Linked DNA regions of Arabidopsis thaliana. The protein of the gene in region 3 purifies or fractionates together with the protein of the main gene of each other region. This does not show direct contact. Each region holds a gene or a part of one and is shown on either strand. Other genes may lie near its edges. The genes, in order: AT4G18330, EIF2 GAMMA, CKA3 and AT1G62870.

What was found.
Region 1: the proteins of CKA3 (region 3) and AT4G18330 fractionate together in Arabidopsis thaliana (co-fractionation; one large-scale study listed by BioGRID). This does not show direct contact.
Region 2: the proteins of CKA3 (region 3) and EIF2 GAMMA fractionate together in Arabidopsis thaliana (co-fractionation; one large-scale study listed by BioGRID). This does not show direct contact.
Region 4: the proteins of CKA3 (region 3) and AT1G62870 fractionate together in Arabidopsis thaliana (co-fractionation; one large-scale study listed by BioGRID). This does not show direct contact.

The regions. Positions count from the first base shown.
Region 1 is NC_003075.7:10,124,839-10,129,239, reverse strand, and holds AT4G18330 (Translation elongation factor EF1A/initiation factor IF2gamma family protein), read right to left. Parts: upstream 2,662-4,401; 5' UTR 2,577-2,661; intron 2,505-2,576; 5' UTR 2,494-2,504; coding exon 2,367-2,493; intron 2,278-2,366; coding exon 2,103-2,277; intron 2,026-2,102; coding exon 1,923-2,025; intron 1,840-1,922; coding exon 1,612-1,839; intron 1,519-1,611; coding exon 1,300-1,518; intron 1,217-1,299; coding exon 653-1,216; 3' UTR 506-652; downstream 1-505. Other genes in the region: AT4G18335 (uncharacterized protein), read right to left, coding at 1-371; AT4G18320 (uncharacterized protein), read right to left, coding at 3,262-4,224.
Region 2 is NC_003070.9:1,095,061-1,100,424, reverse strand, and holds EIF2 GAMMA (eukaryotic translation initiation factor 2 gamma subunit), read right to left. Parts: upstream 3,544-5,364; 5' UTR 3,305-3,543; exon of another isoform or gene 3,139-3,304; intron 3,027-3,138; 5' UTR 3,003-3,026; coding exon 2,894-3,002; intron 2,807-2,893; coding exon 2,745-2,806; intron 2,626-2,744; coding exon 2,513-2,625; intron 2,427-2,512; coding exon 2,324-2,426; intron 2,047-2,323; coding exon 1,819-2,046; intron 1,708-1,818; coding exon 1,489-1,707; intron 1,389-1,488; coding exon 1,128-1,388; intron 1,026-1,127; coding exon 723-1,025; 3' UTR 524-722; downstream 1-523. Other genes in the region: XIB (myosin XI B), read right to left, coding at 4,279-4,390, 4,458-4,621, 4,704-4,760, 4,851-4,907, 4,982-5,078, 5,248-5,318.
Region 3 is NC_003071.7:9,825,585-9,830,075, reverse strand, and holds CKA3 (Protein kinase superfamily protein), read right to left. Parts: upstream 2,973-4,491; 5' UTR 2,849-2,972; coding exon 2,763-2,848; intron 2,518-2,762; coding exon 2,388-2,517; intron 2,307-2,387; coding exon 2,112-2,306; intron 2,024-2,111; coding exon 1,866-2,023; intron 1,713-1,865; coding exon 1,622-1,712; intron 1,490-1,621; coding exon 1,424-1,489; intron 1,335-1,423; coding exon 1,252-1,334; intron 1,134-1,251; coding exon 1,070-1,133; coding exon of another isoform or gene 1,019-1,069; exon of another isoform or gene 999-1,018; coding exon 930-998; intron 793-929; coding exon 733-792; 3' UTR 539-732; downstream 1-538. Other genes in the region: AT2G23090 (Uncharacterized protein family SERF), read left to right, coding at 1-25, 300-419; AT2G23070 (Protein kinase superfamily protein), read left to right, coding at 3,205-3,584, 3,919-4,048, 4,168-4,362. UniProt on the Arabidopsis thaliana protein: Casein kinases are operationally defined by their preferential utilization of acidic proteins such as caseins as substrates. The alpha chain contains the catalytic site. The tetrameric holoenzyme CK2 is composed of two alpha and two beta subunits.
Region 4 is NC_003070.9:23,283,395-23,288,625, reverse strand, and holds AT1G62870 (uncharacterized protein), read left to right. Parts: upstream 1-1,828; 5' UTR 1,829-2,117; coding exon 2,118-4,406; 3' UTR 4,407-4,714; downstream 4,715-5,231.

The DNA.
Region 1 (4,401 bases), on a different chromosome or scaffold from region 3:
CGAACCGGACGGTTTAAACCGTTATTCTTCTTGGCCATCATCTTGAAGTAGCCAGCACGATGATGAAGACCACGGCGATGACGAAGAGTATGTCGATAGTAGTAGTAGTATTGGTGATTGTAACGACGACGACGGTGGTTGTCTCGTTGCAACCGCTGGTTCAAGATAAACGGTGTCGTTTTCTTGATGTAGACGAGTTGGTGCGGTGATTCGTAACCGTTGAGATAAGCTTCCGTTTTTTGTGTTGATGATACTCTTGTTTCTTGATTCGAAGATGATGATGATGGTGAGATGAGGAAGACGAGAGTGAGAATAAGAGAGACGATGAAGCTTTTTAGAAGACTCTGTTTCATCAAAACCAAATCTTCCATTGGGATTGAAAGAGAGTATAGGGTTTTGGCTGAGAGTAAGAGAGAGCGTAAAGATGAAACAAAAGCTCAGAACGAGGAGGGAATTAGAATTATATAATTCCTAATTAGTGATAAGTAATATCATTAATGAAATTATGAATTTGTTTTTTAAATTTTCGTCAATGTTGTGTTAAATATGAATATAGTTTTATATTGTAGTCGAAAGAAAGTGATTAAACATACAAAGGCACATGTTAATTATTTTTGAATGCAAACAATATAAAAAACTCATCACTACTTCATTAGAAAGGAGGAGGAGGAACATCGATGGTGGTTCCAGCCATAATCTGACCCTTACCAATTAGACGCCAATGCCTATCGACACGTCGGCTTAAAGCAACCTTCTCTCCTATGGTGGTACACACCGGAGACGTCAGTTGGAGTTTCACCATATCTTTCTTGACTCCAATAACCTTAGCTCCCGTAGACATAGACCCGATGTTCACCATCAATATCTCTTCTTTGGTTAGCTTTGACACTTTCATTTGCTTCTCTTTTTCCTTTGTCCTCACTCCAATGAGACGAGTCAGAAGCTGGTAACTTACTTCAAGCTCAACAAAGACGTCAGGGAGAGTACCCATTTCACCAAGGACTTGACCAACCAACCTATCAGCACGCGTAAGCGTAGGGTCCATGGTTGTTCCAACTCCGATTAGACCTCCCGGTACAGCAAACTGAAGCTCGTTCTGTTCCGCGTATAGTGAAGTTATACGCGAGTAAATTGGAGTGCATTTTGAGTTTCCATGCTCATCTTTGCCAGTGATACCAGGTCTAATTTCAATCAGTTGGTTCACTTTCAAAACACCCAAACAAAGAGAGACACATATTAATACTAAATTGTTTCACAGTCAGGTAAGAACAGAGGAGAAACAGAGAGATAAAAACATACCTGGAGGATACTTCCACCAGCAACACCACCTTTCATTTCATGACCCGCCGAGCCAGGTTTATTGACATCGAAAGAACGAATCACAATCATCTTTGGTGGTGACACAAAGTCTCTCACAGGGATTGGAATCTTCTTGACAATGTATTCACTCACAACATCAATGTTGTATTTCAGTTGTGCTGAGACAGGAACTATAGGTGCATCCTCAGCATTCGTGTTCTGCAACATTATATATGTGACAGAAAATATGAGAACCAAACTGATGAAGTCATGAAAGATTTAACAACAGAGAGATAAGAAAATTGATCAAACCGTTATAAATTTCTGAATAGCCTCGTGCTGTTCAGTGGCGGCTTTCTCATTAATGAGATCAATCTTGTTCTGAAGGATTATGATATGCTTAAGGCGCATCATATCAACAGAAGCAAGATGTTCAGCGGTTTGTGGTTGTGGACAACTCTCGTTAGCAGCAATTAGAAGTAAAGCACCATCCACGATTGCTGCTCCATTGAGCATTGTCGCCATAAGAATATCATGTCCCTGATGAATAAAAAACAACTCAGTTACATATAGCCAATGGTTCTAGTTTTGAGAGACAAAGTGTAAATTAAACTCATTAATACCGGACAATCGACACATGAGACATGTCTCCGTAGTGTCATCTTGCAATTCTCAAATCCGGGGACATCACAAGTTGGGTTGTCTTCTTTTCCACTCCCATATGACCTAAAATTAACAGATTAGCTGCTGCTACACATAATAACACTTAGCCTTATTATATCAAAAAGAAGATTATGACTCACTTGTAGCACATTGGTCTAGGGCACTTGTCATCCTCACACTTGTAAATCTTTGCATTTGCATAACCAAGCTTAATGGTAATGTTACGCTCTAATTCATTCTTAAAACGCACAGTCTGAACACCAGAGATAGCTTTCACTATAGTCGATTTACCGTGAGCGACATGACCAATGGTTCCTGAGATATATTTAGCACAGTATTGGTTTCTTTGACATCAAGTTATACTATAGACCTAGAGGAGCTGGCAAAAGCAGAGTGTAATTTACCGATATTTATGGTTGCTTGGCGAGAAATGACTTCAGGAAACAGAGGATGTAACTTTGTTACATCAAGCTTAGTTAGATCTTGCTCCGCCAAACCCTTGTTACGCGAAATTAACACAGATTGAACCATCTTTAATCCTGCTAAAACAACGAGATCAATGAAAATTCTGAAATCGATATTAGGGTTTATATACAAAACGATTTCATGCATACCTTGGTTTCTGTTCACAAAACACCACAATAATTTCGATACTCAGTCGATTCCGACAAACCTGAGTACTATAAAGTCTCGATTTTGTTTAATCAGTCTCTTACACTTTGTTGTCCGAAAAATGTTGAGCTCGCTCGATGACAGTTAAAGATTTGTAAGATTGGGGAAGAAGTTTACACGTGGAAGGTAAAAAATGTAGGGTTTTGTAAACCTTTTTTTCATTGCCTTATGATTAACTAGGCCCATTCTTATTATTAGTAAAACCATTAGCACCCAATACGGCCCAATATTGAAAACCTGTAAATTTAAACTCGAATTTGTAATCGGAGTTGAGTTTTTTTTGTAGAGGAGCCAAATAAGAGAACATCTTTTGTAGAATTTTTCATTTTACTCTTTGCTAAACAATTTTTTTAAAAAAAATATGTTTTACATATATTAACGAAGAGATGTACACCGAATTAAGAGTTCTTTGTTTGTCTATTAAGTTTAACGTAAAAATAAACAATAAAAGATCAGCATTTTTATAAACAAACCAAAGTAGAGTTTCTAACGAAACCACAATGAGTAGAGTTTGCAACACAATAAATAGAAATTAATACTAAAAATCTTAAACCACACAAATAAAAGATAGATAACGAAAACAATCACAGAGAAATAACTTAAAGAGTCAAGTGGTAGAACATTAGGCTAAGCGCGAACCTCAACCCAAACTCCGTCAGTGTAAGAAACGATTTGGTTGTTAGCACCCCAAGTGCGGTTTTTCACTCTCTCGCGATCAGTTTTAGTGCCGATAATGTCTAGAGTTTGTGGAAATATCTGAAGTCGATGTTTGATCTGATCAAAAGATTGGCCGTGGAAAGGATTCCATTCGATGGTATCATTCTCTTGAGTATTTGAGACATTCCAATTTTGGGTTCGGAAGGTGAAGTCAAGAGTATGGCCCCATAAAATAATTGATATTTTGTCCACAGATGGGGAGAGGGAATCTATAGTCGAACCACAAATTGGATGGTTGAAGGTAGGGATACGAGTCACTGACCAGTTCTGATCCCAGTCTCCGTTACTCTTGGCTACATAATATATTTGTCGACTAGGAGCATGCATATGCGCTATCACCATATGATTATTTTCGTGAAAGCTATCGGCTAGGAGACAAGCATAAGTGTTGTCTTGACGGGGATCTCCGGTGAGCACACCGTAACGGATCACACATGGGTTATCAGTGGTGAGAAGGGGTAGTTGGTACCGTTGTGAAGTGAACGGGTTGTATAAGAAAGCTTGGTGGTCTTGACGTCGGTGTATGGCACTGGAGTTGGACATAACAACCCAACCCAATGTTGATCCTAAGAATTTGGCCCCTTCAAGATATGGGTCTTTCCCATGATGTAGCTCCTCTCTCACAGGGTCATAGAAATGGGCAACTCGGGATCCCCTTTCACGGTACAACAACCACGGCCTTTCCTCTACGAAACCTCCTTCACGGAAAGAAAGAAATGTGTTCCTCCAATGAGTGTTGACACCTCTTAGTGCCCCACCTTCGGTAAAGTTAGGGTTAAGCAAATTTGTAGAACTTCTGAGGAGATCTTGAGGCAAACTTCCCCATGAATCCCTGCGAGAGAAACAAATTTGAGAGAAGTGAGATGAGAGCATAAACTATAAGAATTAACAAATAAGAACTGGAAGATTATTTTTTTTTTAAAGATGTTCTCAAAAATCCCTCCAAAAAATGAGATGAAACCAAGAAAAATAATTTTGAGAGAAATGAAATCTGATAGCAGAAGGCAGAAGCTATATATATGAGTTACGAAAAAATGGAAGAAGTTTTGT
Region 2 (5,364 bases), on a different chromosome or scaffold from region 3:
GCGTGATGAAAGTACCATTCGGGTTTATCTTCTTCCAGAGTTTCAATTTGTGCAAGTATTTGTTGCGGGAGTCTAGGTAACTAAACTTGTTTCCCTGCATGAAAGGTTGGCATGTTAACCCATCACTTTGGAACACAGTCAGCGATTCTTCTCATTTCAATGGGAAGGCGAACCACAAATGCAAGTGTTGTTGAGACAGTTCCAGATGAGCCGAATGGAGACTTGCTGCCTCTGCAGTCCCGTCTATGTAACATAAGTTTTCGCACGGATATACACAGTGGAAGGCAAGACACTCAATTCAAATCGCAAACAAATAACGTTCTTTAGAGAGAAGACATGAACATTTTGACTAAAAAGTCGTATTTATTATAAAAAGTCGTACTTGATCGGATCCTAATGAGTAATGAAGTTGTTCCTTTTCTGAAGAAAGTATGTATAGTCAAGTAGCAGAGTATCTCTGACAAAAATTTCAAAAAAAAAAAGAGAGACAACAAAATTTAGTAATATCTAAGAGAAAAACACAAACAAAGAGCAAACTAGTAACAATAACAAAGAGCAAACTAGTAACAATAACAAATCAGGTACTGTTTGAAGATGTTTAATCCGCAAAGACGAACTCTCCAAAATCCCCCAACGAGAAAAAGAGTTTTATTATCTTTTTGAGGGGTTTAACAATCTTTTTTTCAGAAACACAAACAAAAAGGACAAAAATAACACATAGCTTAGAAAGGTGAAGGAGGAACTTCGATGGTGGTTCCAGCTTGAATCTGACCCCAACCAATCAAACGCCAATGCTTTTCCACACGTCTGCTTAGAGCCACTTTCTCTCCTTTGCTGGTACAAACAGGCGCAGTCAGTTGCAGTTTAGCCAGATCGACTTTAACTCCTACAACTTTGGCTCCAGTGGACATCGAACCAATGTTGAGCATCAGAATCTCTCCTTTCGTTAGCTTTGACACTTTCCCTTGTTTCTCTGATCCCTTTGTTCTCACTCCCAACAAACGTCGTAGAAGAAAGAAGTTCACCTACAGATTTTACATAACCACAAATTAAAAGGAGAAAATACACTAAGAGACCCATTAGGACCATAAAGACTGAAGAGTATGGTTGTGAGGAGTTGTTTATACCTCGAGTTCAACAAATACATCAGGAAGTGAACCGATTTCACCAAGGACTTGACCAACTAATCGATCTGCACGAGTGAGAGTTGGGTCCATTGTTGTTCCAACTCCTATTAGACCTCCAGGAACAGCAAACTGAAGCTCGTTCTGTTCCGCGTAGAGTGAAATGATGCGAGAGTAAATTGGAGTGCATTTTGAGTTGCCACGCTCGTCTTTGGTAACGATACCAGGTCGGATTTCGATTAATTGGTTGACTCTCAAAACACCCTACAATATACATGTAGTTAAGAGATACTGATTACACCATATAAAGCTTGATGTACTTAAGAGGCACAACAAGAGAAAGGGAGAGAGAGAGAATAGATACCCGTAGGATACTTCCACCTGCAACTCCACCTTTGATCTCATCAACCTCATAACCAGGTTTGTTGACATCAAAAGACCGAATCACTATCATATTTGGGGGTGACACAAAATTCCTCTCAGGGATTGGGATCTTCTTGACAATGTACTCGCACACCACATCAATGTTGTATTTCAGTTGTGCTGAGACAGGGACGATCGGAGCAGCATCAGCAACAGTGTTCTGCAACAGGATGTGAAAGAAATTTTAGAACCAAGTTCTTCAATACTTAGCTTAACCAAGTGACGAAATGAGAATGCTACAACAGATCCTTAAGAGATAAGAAAACCTAACCATTATAAATTTCTGAATTGCCTCGTGCTGATTAATGGCAACATTCTCTTGAATAAGATCAATCTTGTTCTGAAGGATGATGATATGCTTAAGTTGCATAATCTCAACGGCAGCAAGATGTTCAGACGTTTGTGGTTGTGGACAAGTTTCATTTGCAGCGATTAAAAGTAGTGCACCATCCATGATGGCTGCTCCATTAAGCATTGTTGCCATGAGAATATCGTGACCCTGAAGAATAGAACAAGAATACATTCAACAAGAATGAAGTAGAGATAAGAAAAGCAAAAGATGGAAACATCAATGAATACTTCTCCATCAACCCTCACTCTTTAAGCCCTTCACCCAATTAAATGAGAGACCCAAAATCATGCAGGTGGAGCACAACAACATCGATAATACACAATAAACGAACAGCTCATTGACACATGAAATGGTTATACACTTATACTATCAAATGAAAATGGTAATTAATGAAGAATAAAGATAACGGTAAAACTCATCATACCGGGCAATCAACGAATGAGACATGCCTCAATAGTTTCATCTTGGAGTTTTCAAATCCGGGGACATCACAATTGGGAGTGTCTTCCTTTCCACTTCCGTAGGCCCTAATACAACAGATAAGTTGTTAGACCTTGACTCAAACCTTATAGTAGAAGTAGAAGATAAAAACACTGTTGTAAGAAGGACTCACTTGTAGCACATTGGTCTAGGGCATTTCTCATCCTCACATTTGTAAATCTTGGCGTTTGCATATCCAAGCTTAATGGTAATGTTACGCTCCAATTCATTTTTAAAACGGACAGTCTGTACAGAGAAGATAAGGAAACCATAGAAATCACTTCACCCACTCCAATTGATCAAACGCTGCAAGCTAGAAAAGCCTCTAGGATTACAATTGTGAAAACCGCATAATCAAATTTTACCTGGACACCAGAAATAGCTTTAACAACAGTGGACTTTCCATGAGCGACATGACCAATGGTTCCTGAAACATAACACTATCATCTTTAGCTTATAGGAACTGCCAGTTTCTTCAACATCAACTTATATAAAAGACTCAAAAAAGCGTTACCTATATTAATAGTGGCCTGGCGAGAAATGACCTCAGGAGACAGAGGATGTAGCACAGTTACATCCAATTTTTTAAGATCTTGCTCAGCCAAACCCTTGTTCCTCGACATTATCAAAGATTGAAGCTTCTGCTCCTGCTTAAAACCGAGCATCAAATCAGAACCCTAACCCTAGTTAATCTGAAAAAGACTACTTCTCAGGTTTTTCTACATCTGCCCTAATCAAGTCGACACACAGATTCTATACCTGAGCTCCGTTACCTAAATATCACAATAATTTCGATTCGCAATCTAAAAAAACATTATGATTACGATTAGATTCCCCGAACTAATCTTCGTGCGATAGAAATGGGAACAATTAGGTTGAACAAATATTGAATCCGTAGGAGATGTAATTCGAGATCGAAACGAACCTGAGCGATGCGAAAGAACAACGGAGAAGGTCAAATTTGAGAGATAAAAAAGAGTGAGAAAGCGGCGCAGCTTGAAGAAGATGCACAAAATGGTTTTTTTTTTTCTATCCAAGTCCCTAAAGGGTTTTTGGTTTCCTTCGCGTAACCTTTTTTTTTTTTCCCTTTCTAAAATTTCTTACAAAATAATGAAATACTAGTATTTAATTAAATTACTATCAGTAGAGACTAATTTACTTTTTCTATGAATCAAAGTATCAAACCCAAAACATTTCATCATATTAATTTTATGTGCAGGGCCGGCCCGACTAAATTTAATGCCTAAAAGCAAAAAACAATTTGGCCCAACATAAAACACAGTTAAACAAAAAAAACCATAAAACTTTTAGAATTCGAACTTGAGACAGACACCTCAAGTGAAAGGCCTATTTGCGATCGACTATAAGCGTTCGTGTTCCTCTATCTCTCTCGGGTTTGTCAATTTATCTTTCCGAACCAGTTATGAATTTGTTTTTTTTTGGAAGGTTTTGAAGTCTTTGAATCTCGGCTGTTGAAGTCAGAAACGTTGGTTTTAAACCAATATCACCAGGTGTAATGGAGTTTGATTGAGTCCCAAATTTTTTAAAAAAAAATCACTGAAAAGAGTTGGGGCAAGTTTATAACAAATTAAGTAGATTAATTCTGTACAACAACAACAAAGGATCTTCATCGTGTAGAACTTGAGCCGTGAAAAAAAAAAACCAGATAATAATCTTGGGTCTAAAATGGAGAAAAAACTTTGAAATGGGGTCAAATAAATAAATGAATGAATTGGTGAGAGAGAAATCACAGAGGTTTTGCAAGAAAGAAACAACCCCACAAGAAGTAAAAATTTACACTTTTGTAATCTTCTTTCCTTTTGGTTCAAGAAGGCACCCCTCCCCCACTCAGACTAAAAAGAAACAGAGGAAGAGCTTTTTTAGAATCCGAGCTTCTCACTAGTGCAAGAATACGAATTCTGGGTTTTCCAGTAGCTCTTTGGCCGGTTTGACACTCGCAAAGTCTTTTTCGTGCATCGAATTCGAAATCTCGTCTATTGAGAAGGGAATGCTGCGAACAATAAACCGGTTTTAGTTTCTACTACTGATATTAATCTTTAAGAAATGATTCGAGTTACCTGGAATTATCATCCAACAAGAAGGAATTGCTGTCGGCATCGTTGGATTCTTCTGTCATGAGCGCACGCATGCTCGATATTACCTCTTGAGACACACTTCGGGTGTTATAGCAGTCGTCCCAGTATAATGTGCATATCCGGTAAAGTTGTTGGACACTAAGGATCTGTAATAAAGTGAAACAAGAAAGCCATTAAGTATGGAGTCTAGGCAAAAACGTGTTTCTAGAAACTAAGAAGGAGCTTTACCGGGCAAAGATCATGTACTATATCATCGTATGATACTCTGTACTTCTGGTGGATAACCTGATAAGTTACGAGAGGAGAAGTATTCGTTTTTGAAGATTCAAGAAACAAGAGTTCCACAAGTTAGTATTAAACAAGAGTAAAACATACCAGGAACCCAACAGCTTGTCTGATGTGTTTCAGTTCATCCCAAGATGGCCCAGCATACTGCAAAATCAAAGAATGATATAATGAGCCGAAAGAAACTTTTTCCGGAAGGAAAACGTGAGGTAGGAACTTACTTCATTGACTTGGCCGCACCACAATTCTAGCTCTGCAAGCCCAGACTTTACAAATTCTCCATTGCTGAATGTACAACACTCTTTACGCAGTAGAAGGCTATTGTAAGATGTTAAGGAAAAAACCAAGTAAGAAAACACTAGTGATCTTGGCTTATATCTTCCATAGGAATTTGAGAAATATCAACCATAGGAAGGTTTGTACTTTGACGAGTATCGATGATAAGGTGTGTAGAAACCATTAGATGTAATTCTCAAGTATTATTTACCTGTTAAATAGTTGCACATTGACGAACGAGAAAGTTTGAGTGTGTATCTTCTGGATGAGTACCAAAGGAACCTGTACACCATGAAACATATGAGAATTTGAGGATTTGAAAACAGAA
Region 3 (4,491 bases):
TAACAAGAAAGCTATGTCGATTCAGGTGATCACTTATTACTTTATATCATCGTCTTCGAAATCATCGAAATATTACAATTATTGGTTACTAGAATCAGCTTTTCTTAATAAGAATCCAATTATTATTAGTCCTTTGGAATTGTTTATGTAGTCATGAAACGTAAGTTTAATTGTCTCATGTTGATGCACAATTTCTTGTTGATCCTGAAGCTTTGTGTTAATGAACTTGTTATTTCTTGTTGATCCTGAAGCTTTGTGTTATATTAACTTGTTATTTGTTGATGTGTGTGTTTATATAGTGCAAGGTTTGTATGCAAACATTCATCTGCACGACATCGGAAGTGAAATGCAGGGAGCACGCGGAGGCGAAGCATCCGAAAGCCGATGTTGTCGCTTGTTTCCCTCACCTCAAGAAGTGATGAAAGCTATTATCTCAACTATAAAGGATTCCAATGTATAACGTATGGATCCTCATCTTTCCTATGTTTGTATCAAAGTCTCGACAAATTTTATGGTTTCTATTTCTCTCTACTTGTTTCAACAATAAGTCTCTTGCTATGATTATATAATGAAGCTTTGTGTGGAACCTTTTTTTTTAATATAAGTTGGCTTCTTTTCGCTGTTGATTATGTTTCTATGAAAGTAAAGATTACCACAATTTTGATACAACAAAATCATTACAAAGTTTTTGGTTGAAAAATAGTAGTAAGCATCATCAATCAAGCTTCGGTTTTACTGAGTTCGTAGTCTGCTGCTCTCTGCGGCTTTAACTTGAGCGAAGTATGGATGATCCTATAGATCAATAGAGAAACCAGAGATTATAAGTTTGACTTGATCATCGGGTAAAACAAAATCAAAAGATGTGTGCACATGAAGATCATCGGGTAAAACAAAATCAAAAGATGTGTGCACATGAAGAGGATTTTTACCATGGCTTCTCTTGCGGTTAATCTGTCTTGATGATCATACTGAAGAAGCTTATCGAGAAAATCAATTGCCTAAAGATGTATACAATGAGTCAATACACCCAGAACGAAGCAAAACTATGTTTTTCGAAAAAGAGTAGTACCTCAGGTGAGACCAAATGTTGGTTGTCCGCGTTGATAAACTTGGACCATGGTTTGGGGACATGTCTACAAATAAGAGTGACTTCAGGTTTTAACTCATTGGTATAAAATTAACTGAGCCAGAGTTGAGAACAGCAACAATTTTGACTTTTAAAGACAGAGAGATTCAGGGATGGAATAAAACCTTCCAACAAGTGCTTCCAGTTGAGGGTCAAGATCTAGCTGATATTTGTTTAGGTAATGATCTAACTCATTGGTTCCCAACACCTATGCACACGTTTCAATCAGAAATCATATACATGGATTTAAGTTTACAATGTAATTTTATGCCAATAAGTCATAGACTAGCAATATACCTTGGCAATTTTGACAAGTTGATCATGATTATCATGGCCATAAAAGAACGGTTCCTTACGGAATATCTGCAGCATCAATATTTGACAAGTGAATAAGCAACAGCAAAGTATTAACGACTACCATTCGGAAATTCAAATGCTTGCAATAGCTTCAGCATTGAAGCTAGAGAGAAGAGTGAGGGGATTATTAGTTCTCACCATGCCAGCAAACATGCAACCAAGACTCCACATGTCTAAAGAATAGTCATAATCCTGTAGATCAACTAAAAGCTCGGGACCCTTGAAGTATCTGGCAATTAATTCACAGGTTTTTAGTCTAATGCATTTAACAACTACAAGAAGCTTTGATTGCACAGCTAAAAGTTTCAATCATTGGCATCTACGAATGACCCTCTTAGGCTTGCCAAGACAGGTGGAATTAAGCTGTGGTATCGGATATTACCTCGAGGCCACGCGAACATTATACTCTTTTCCGGGATGGTAAAACTCAGCAAGGCCCCAATCTATCAGACGAAGTTTACGCAGCTGATGATCTATCATGACATTATGAGGCTTAACATCCCTATGCATTATTCCTTGAGAGTGACAGAAATCCAATGCCTGAAATGCAATAACATCAGCTCTGGATTCCACGATAAACATTTGTATGTACGGTAAAAGTCATTTATGGTAAATACCGATACATTACCTTCAGAAGCTCATAAATATAGTACCGGATATCGTAATCAGTCAATGTTGGATACAATACTTTAAAGTCCACACTGTTGACAAACTCAAATACCAAGCTAGGTGTTTTGGAGTGCTCATCTCTAACAATATCATACAGCTTAACAATATTTGGTCCACCACATAGGTTCTGAAGTATTTTGATCTCTCTCTTTATCTGCATAACATCAAGTTTCAGCAAAATTAGCCATCTTTATGTATGCAAATTCATCAGAAATGAGTTCTACTAACTGATCACCTTCTTCTTTTTTACGGGTTTGAGGATCTTGATAACGCAACGCTCATTCGTATTGACGTTTTTGCCTTCGAAAACTTCACTGTATTTTCCTCTACCAACTTTTCTCACAACCTCATAATCATCTTGATGACTGAAGAATCACACAAAAGTATTTAAGAATCTCACACTGTTGAATTTCAAAATCCAATATTTGCTAATAGATACTTAAAACAAAGTGTCTTCAAGAGACCTAAGTCCAAACCCTAAAAAATTCCAATTTCTCTGATTTCGAATTCGATTTGGCAACAAATCAATCAAATTCCACCGAAAATTTATCAAAAAGAAGTCAAAAATCGTAAATTCATCAAAGAAAAATTCTAAAGCTAGAAGTTTTACCCCCATTGAACAACGAGAGACTCGTAGTCCCAATACTCTTTAGGACGAACAACGTTAACATCTGTATAAACCCTAGCTTTCGACATCAATTTCGATCTGAAAAAATGGAGAAATTTGCGATCGCAATCTTCTCTTTGATCGTCAGGTTTGTTTCAAGTGGACGATGATGATGACAACAGAAGAAGTGCGTTGTGCAGGATTAGAAAAAGGTTGAAGAAGAATCTCTGATACCCAAAAACCACCTAAACCAAATCGAACCGATTCAACCACACTCGAACCGAAACAAACCCAATCGGATCGATTTCAATCACACTATAACCGGACCGAATTGTTTAAACGACATCGTTTCGAAGAGAAGCCAAAGAAAAAGAAAGGAGAGAAATAAAGCAAATTCGTTACCTTCACTTTTCATTTTCTGAATAAGAGTTAAAAAAAGACATTAATGGCCTTAAGGCCTTGTACTGGATTCACAATCTCCTCTCTTCGCAACGCTTCCGCCGCCAACAACAATCTCTTCTCTCTCCTCTCCTTCTCTTCGTCGTCTCCGGCGAAGAGGAATCTTCTTCTCTCTTCGCTCCAGGACAATCTCCGTCGTTTCGCATCCAGCGCTTCTCTTTACCGTCAACATCTCCGGAATCAACAACAACAACATCAGCAACAACAGCAATCGCGCGTGAAAGAAAAATCAGAAACGCTGGCTCAGAAGATCGGTAAATCTATCCGGCGTGCCGGTGCGCCGTCGAAAGCTAGGGTTTACGCTGATGTCAACGTTGTTAGACCTAAGGACTATTGGGATTACGAGTCCCTTGCTGTTCAATGGGGGTATATCTTCAGATTCTTCTCTAATTAAACCTAATTACGTCGATTTCTAGATGTTTGCCTTTGGTTATAGATTGGTTTGGGATTGGTTGTTCTGGAATCAATGTGGAATGTAGATTTAGGGTTTCGTTTCATATTTTTGATTGATGATATAATCTCGTAAGTAATGCAGAATTGGTATCTGATTTGTTTGTATTGGTATCTGTTTTGTTTGTATATAATCTCTTGAAAATTGCTGGTCTATGTGAACTAGATTGTTGAATTGATATCTTGAGTTTGTATGGTGTTGTTACTGTTTGGTGTATTAGTGTTTGAGTTAGCTTCATTGATGCCGCAGTGTACAGGATGATTATGAGGTGGTGAGGAAGGTAGGAAGGGGAAAATACAGTGAGGTCTTTGAAGGCATTCATGCTACTGATAACGAGAAATGTGTTATCAAGATTTTGAAGCCTGTGAAGAAGAAGAAGGTGAGTAGATACAGCCGCTTGCTTGTTTTTATCTCAATTGTGCTCAGAATGAAGTGTGTTTCTGGCCCTTCACTTGGTTTGAATTATTCTCTAACATATTTTGCTTCTCCTTGACGCAGATTAAGAGAGAGATTAAGATTCTGCAGAACCTCTGCGGTGGGCCTAATATTGTAAAATTGCTCGACATTGTTAGAGATCAGCAGTCTAAGACGCCCAGCTTGATATTTGAACATGTGAACAATAAAGATTTCAAAGTTCTCTATCCAACTCTCTCAGACTATGATGTTCGATATTACATTTTTGAACTTCTAAAGGTAATTATTCAGTTTCCTGAATTGTAGACCATGATTTTCTTTGCGGCTTTGGCAATTGGCAAAAGTAATCGGTAGATATATCATAGATGTATAGCGTCATACACTGTTGTTTACCTTACTTGACTTTTG
Region 4 (5,231 bases), on a different chromosome or scaffold from region 3:
GTAATGGAGTATCAATTACGTAATTTGCATAATTATTTTCTAAATTCCACAGCTACTTTATGATAAGTAATGTATCATAACTATATATTGTATAATTTGTAGAGTAAATAGGTAATCTAAGTAAATAACTTAACAAAAAATGGTATAAGTAAAAAGAACAACTAAAGAAAAACATGAGATGAGTGTTGTAACAACCATAAGACTCATGAATACCACACAAGACAGTTAAGAAAAGAGAGTATATGTCGTTGTAAAAAAGGGATAGGGTAAAAGTCAACTATTTCAGTAGAAAAAGTAAGAAATTTAAAGAGAATTTACTAAAATATCAAAATAACACATCTACGACAAACAATGCAATTCCATAATGCTAATAGATTAAACAACTCAGATTAAACATATGTAGTGTCCAAAACAAACATTACGGAAAAAAACGTTGGTTTATTATGTTATATTTATCCATTTTTGTTGTCAACAACATTTGTCAATTATATTAAAGAAAAAAATGTTCACGAATTCTAAAAATTACAAAAATTGTCACTATTTGTCACTGATACAAAAACTCAGGATGACAATCAGGAAATTTTGTTTTCATTCTTACAAGAAATATGATAATAGTGGTTTGAAACATATTGATTTTTGTATTGAATTTTTTTTTATCAGGAATAAAATACTAGCAATAATATTACTCGTAGTAAACTTTCAAAAAAAAATTATAATTTTTCTTGAGAAAAAATAGTTTATTTTCCAGTTAATAGTTTTTTCAAAAAAAATGAAAGTAGAGTTTCTATTATACTATGTAACATGCATTATACTACTTCAAGTAGAAACAAATTGTAATGGTGAGTAAATGTCTTTATTACTGAACCAATTATATTCAAAAATATTTTTTTTGTCACAGTCAATAAATATATTTTTTACTGGATTCTGAAAATAATAAATAAGTATTTACTAAAGAATGTCCTTTTGGTCAACAACTCTCTCTCACACACACAGAGAGACACAGTCCCTAAAGAAACAAATTAAATTCCTAGGTTGCCCTTTTATGCCCACATTCTGAATATATCCCACATAGACAACAAGACACAAATGGAAACCCCACTCATCATTTTTTTGTATTTTTCCTTCTTTTACAATCATAATTATACCCAAAAAAAAAGTAAAAACATTAAATTAATAAAAAACATGTCTTTCACTCACTCATTTACTAACACTTTCACACAATTATCTACTTTTAAAAGAATCATTTAATGATTTAGTACTAAATTTGTGAGCTGCTTTGCTTATGTCATTGAATGATTTACCCTGTTAATAGTATTTATATTGGTGGGTTAGTTCATAACACGAATCATATACCAAATTTGATTACGTGGAATAGTTGATACTATACAATAGTAGATCAATATTTTATAATCATATAAATTAGAAAAAGAGGAAACAGACGAAGACCTCTTCCACACAAGAACCCAACAATTCACTCAAAAAAAACAGAAAAATATGAAAACAAGACACATCCAAAAATATTTTTTTAAAAAAAACTGAAAAAGTGATATTTATTTTTATTAAAAAGGTATAAAACCAATAATATATAGTATTAAAAATACCTTTATGGAGAGCGTGAGAATCACGTGCCAATGAGAGTGAAGTGAGAGACTAAAACAACCAATGCTTTGTTTCCGTTCTCGTACGACGTGGGACTCTGGTCTCACCTTGTTCCTATCAAACGTTTCATTCAATGTTACAAACACGCGCTTACCTTATGCGCGTGAGATTCACTTTTGTCTCCCTTATTTTCTTCTCCTTCCTCTCTCTGTCTCTCTCTACTGTCTCTTTCTTTCTTCTTCTTCTCCTTTTTGAAATTTCTCAGTCTCTTAAAAAATAGAATCGAAAGAAACTATCAGTGTGATAGCAGAGCAGAGAGGAACAAAGTTTTTTTTTTTTTTCAGAGGTGAAGCAAAAACAGAGACAAAGTTTATTTATTTCTATTTCTGTTCTCTGTTATGAGGAACCGCCGGAGTTATCTCCGACCGCCGGCGAAATTTTCTCTTCAATTTCATCAAAATCCACTAGTCTCAGCTTAATTTCGTTCAGGGTTGTTGTTTAAGTTTTTTGACTTTACAATGGCGACGACGACAAACGCAACAACAACGGCGACACAACAGCAAACGCAAACGCAATCACCAACGCAACAACCGTCGGCGGAAGAATTAGCGACAAAGGCGTTACAAAAGCGTTACGAAGGATTAATGATGGTAAGAACAAAAGCAGTTAAAGGCAAAGGCGCGTGGTATTGGAGTCACCTTGAACCAATCTTACTACACAACACCGACACTGGTTTCCCTAAAGCCGTTAAACTCCGATGTTCTTTATGCGACGCCGTTTTCTCAGCTTCTAATCCTTCCCGAACTGCTTCTGAGCATCTTAAACGTGGAACTTGTCCAAATTTCAACTCTTTACCTAAACCCATCTCCACAATCTCTCCTTCTCCTCCTCCTCCTCCGTCTTCTTCTCACCGGAAACGTAATTCCTCCGCCGTGGAAGCTCTGAATCATCATCATCATCATCCTCATCATCATCATCAAGGGTCTTATAATGTGACGCCTCTTAGTGTCGTTGATCCCTCGAGATTCTGTGGGCAGTTTCCGGTTACACAGCAGCCGCATTTGATGCTTTCCGGTGGAAAAGACGATTTGGGTCCATTAGCTATGCTTGAAGATAGTGTGAAGAAGCTCAAGAGTCCTAAAACTTCTCAGACGCGGAATCTAACTAAAGCTCAGATAGATTCTGCGTTAGATTCTCTCTCTGATTGGGTTTTTGAATCTTGTGGCTCTGTTTCTTTATCTGGTCTCGAGCATCCAAAGTTGAGAGCTTTTTTGACGCAAGTTGGTTTACCGATCATCTCAAGGAGAGATTTTGTCACCGGAAGATTGGATTTGAAGTATGAAGATTCGAGAGCAGAGGCTGAATCGAGAATCCACGACGCAATGTTCTTTCAGATTGCTTCTGATGGATGGAAATTCGACAGCTCCGGCGAGAATTTGGTGAATTTGATTGTGAATTTGCCTAATGGGACGAGTTTGTATAGACGAGCTGTGTTTGTGAACGGAGCTGTGCCGTCTAATTACGCAGAGGAGGTTTTGTGGGAGACGGTGAGGGGTATTTGTGGTAATTCACCTCAGAGGTGTGTTGGGATTGTTTCAGATAGGTTTATGAGTAAGGCATTGAGGAATCTTGAGAGCCAGCATCAATGGATGGTGAATCTCTCTTGTCAGTTTCAAGGTTTCAACAGTTTGATTCGAGATTTTGTAAAAGAGCTTCCTTTGTTTAAATCCGTCTCTCAAAGCTGCTCGAGGCTCGTTAATTTCGTGAACAGCACGGCACAGATCCGAAACGCGGTTTGTAAGTATCAGTTGCAAGAGCAAGGAGAGACTAGGATGCTGCATTTGCCTTTGGATAGTTCTTTGTTTGAGCCATTGTATAATCTCCTTGAGGATGTGCTTAGTTTCGCTAGAGCGATTCAGCTGGTGATGCATGATGATGTGTGTAAGGCTGTTCTAATGGAGGATCATATGGCTAGAGAGGTTGGTGAAATGGTTGGAGATGTCGGGTTTTGGAACGAGGTAGAGGCGGTTTATTTGTTGTTGAAGCTTGTTAAAGAAATGGCTCGGAGAATAGAGGAAGAGAGGCCTTTGGTAGGGCAATGTTTACCGCTATGGGATGAGCTAAGGTCCAAGATAAAAGATTGGTATGCAAAGTTCAATGTTGTTGAAGAGAGGCAAGTAGAGAAGATCGTTGAGAGAAGATTCAAGAAGAGTTATCACCCAGCTTGGGCTGCGGCGTTTATACTTGATCCGCTTTACTTGATAAAAGACAGTAGCGGAAAATATCTTCCTCCATTCAAATGCTTGTCCCCGGAGCAAGAGAAAGATGTTGATAAGTTAATAACAAGGCTTGTGTCTAGAGACGAGGCACATATCGCGATGATGGAGCTGATGAAATGGAGAACAGAAGGGCTTGATCCGGTTTACGCAAGGGCGGTTCAAATGAAGGAGAGAGATCCTGTTTCGGGGAAAATGAGGATAGCTAATCCACAAAGTAGTAGACTTGTTTGGGAAACTTATCTTAGTGAGTTCAGGTCATTGGGGAGAGTTGCAGTTAGGCTTATTTTTCTCCATGCAACTTCTTGTGGTTTCAAATGCAATTCCTCTGTTTTGAGATGGGTAAATTCGAATGGAAGATCACGCGCAGCCGTGGATCGAGCTCAAAAGTTGATCTTTATATCCGCTAACTCGAAATTCGAAAGGAGAGACTTCTCCAACGAGGAAGAGAGAGATGCGGAGCTGCTCGCTATGGCGAATGGCGAAGATGATGTGCTAAACGATGTTCTCATCGATACATCCTCAGTGTGACTTGTTAATTTTTACCAAATTTAGTTTTTCACTAGAACTTGGCCATTTTGTAGGATTGCTTGAATTCATTTTTTTTGTTGTTAACTTTTTTTTTTACTACCCTTAATTCAATTTGTACTTGGCTCCTTTAGGAGGTGAGAAAGAGAGCCATATCATTGTATTTCTTTTAGTCTATTTTGATCATAATTTTAGGCAATTTTTCCGTGTCTTTTTTCGAACTTAAGCAATGATCTTGAGACTGATTTTGAAATTCTTGCATACAAGCGACTCTTGTAAAGTTCTTGTCTATATCATATTACCATTAGAAGTTTCATGTTTCTGCACACATTTGGTTTGCGTAGCAATGAAATCTAATGTGAATCGACCTCTCGTCGTGATCATCATCAATCTATTGGTTCAAAAGGTCCAAGGTTGTAGTTAAGAACATTAATGGCATCAACAGAAGATTCAACGACAGCTTCATTCATCTTCTGTATTGTACATTGTAATGATCTCTTTTGTTCTGTTGTTCTTTTGTTCTTTTTTCATTAACGTTAATATTCTTAATCATGACTCAAAACAATGTCTTTTCCATTTCAAGAAATTGACTTAATAAAACATTTTATTTTTGAACATTTTTCACGTTCTTGCTTCATCATAACATGTTAGTCTCTATTGATGTCGACGACGAAAGATGTAGACCTTTTTGTCACCTAAGAACTGAACCGGGTTTTCGGGTTCACTTCAACTATGATTACGATTATCTATCTATCTAACTTATCAATCTATCGAGTAGTTTCTTTAAAATCTTTTCTCAAAAAATGTGGATCCCCCACTAGGAAAGCA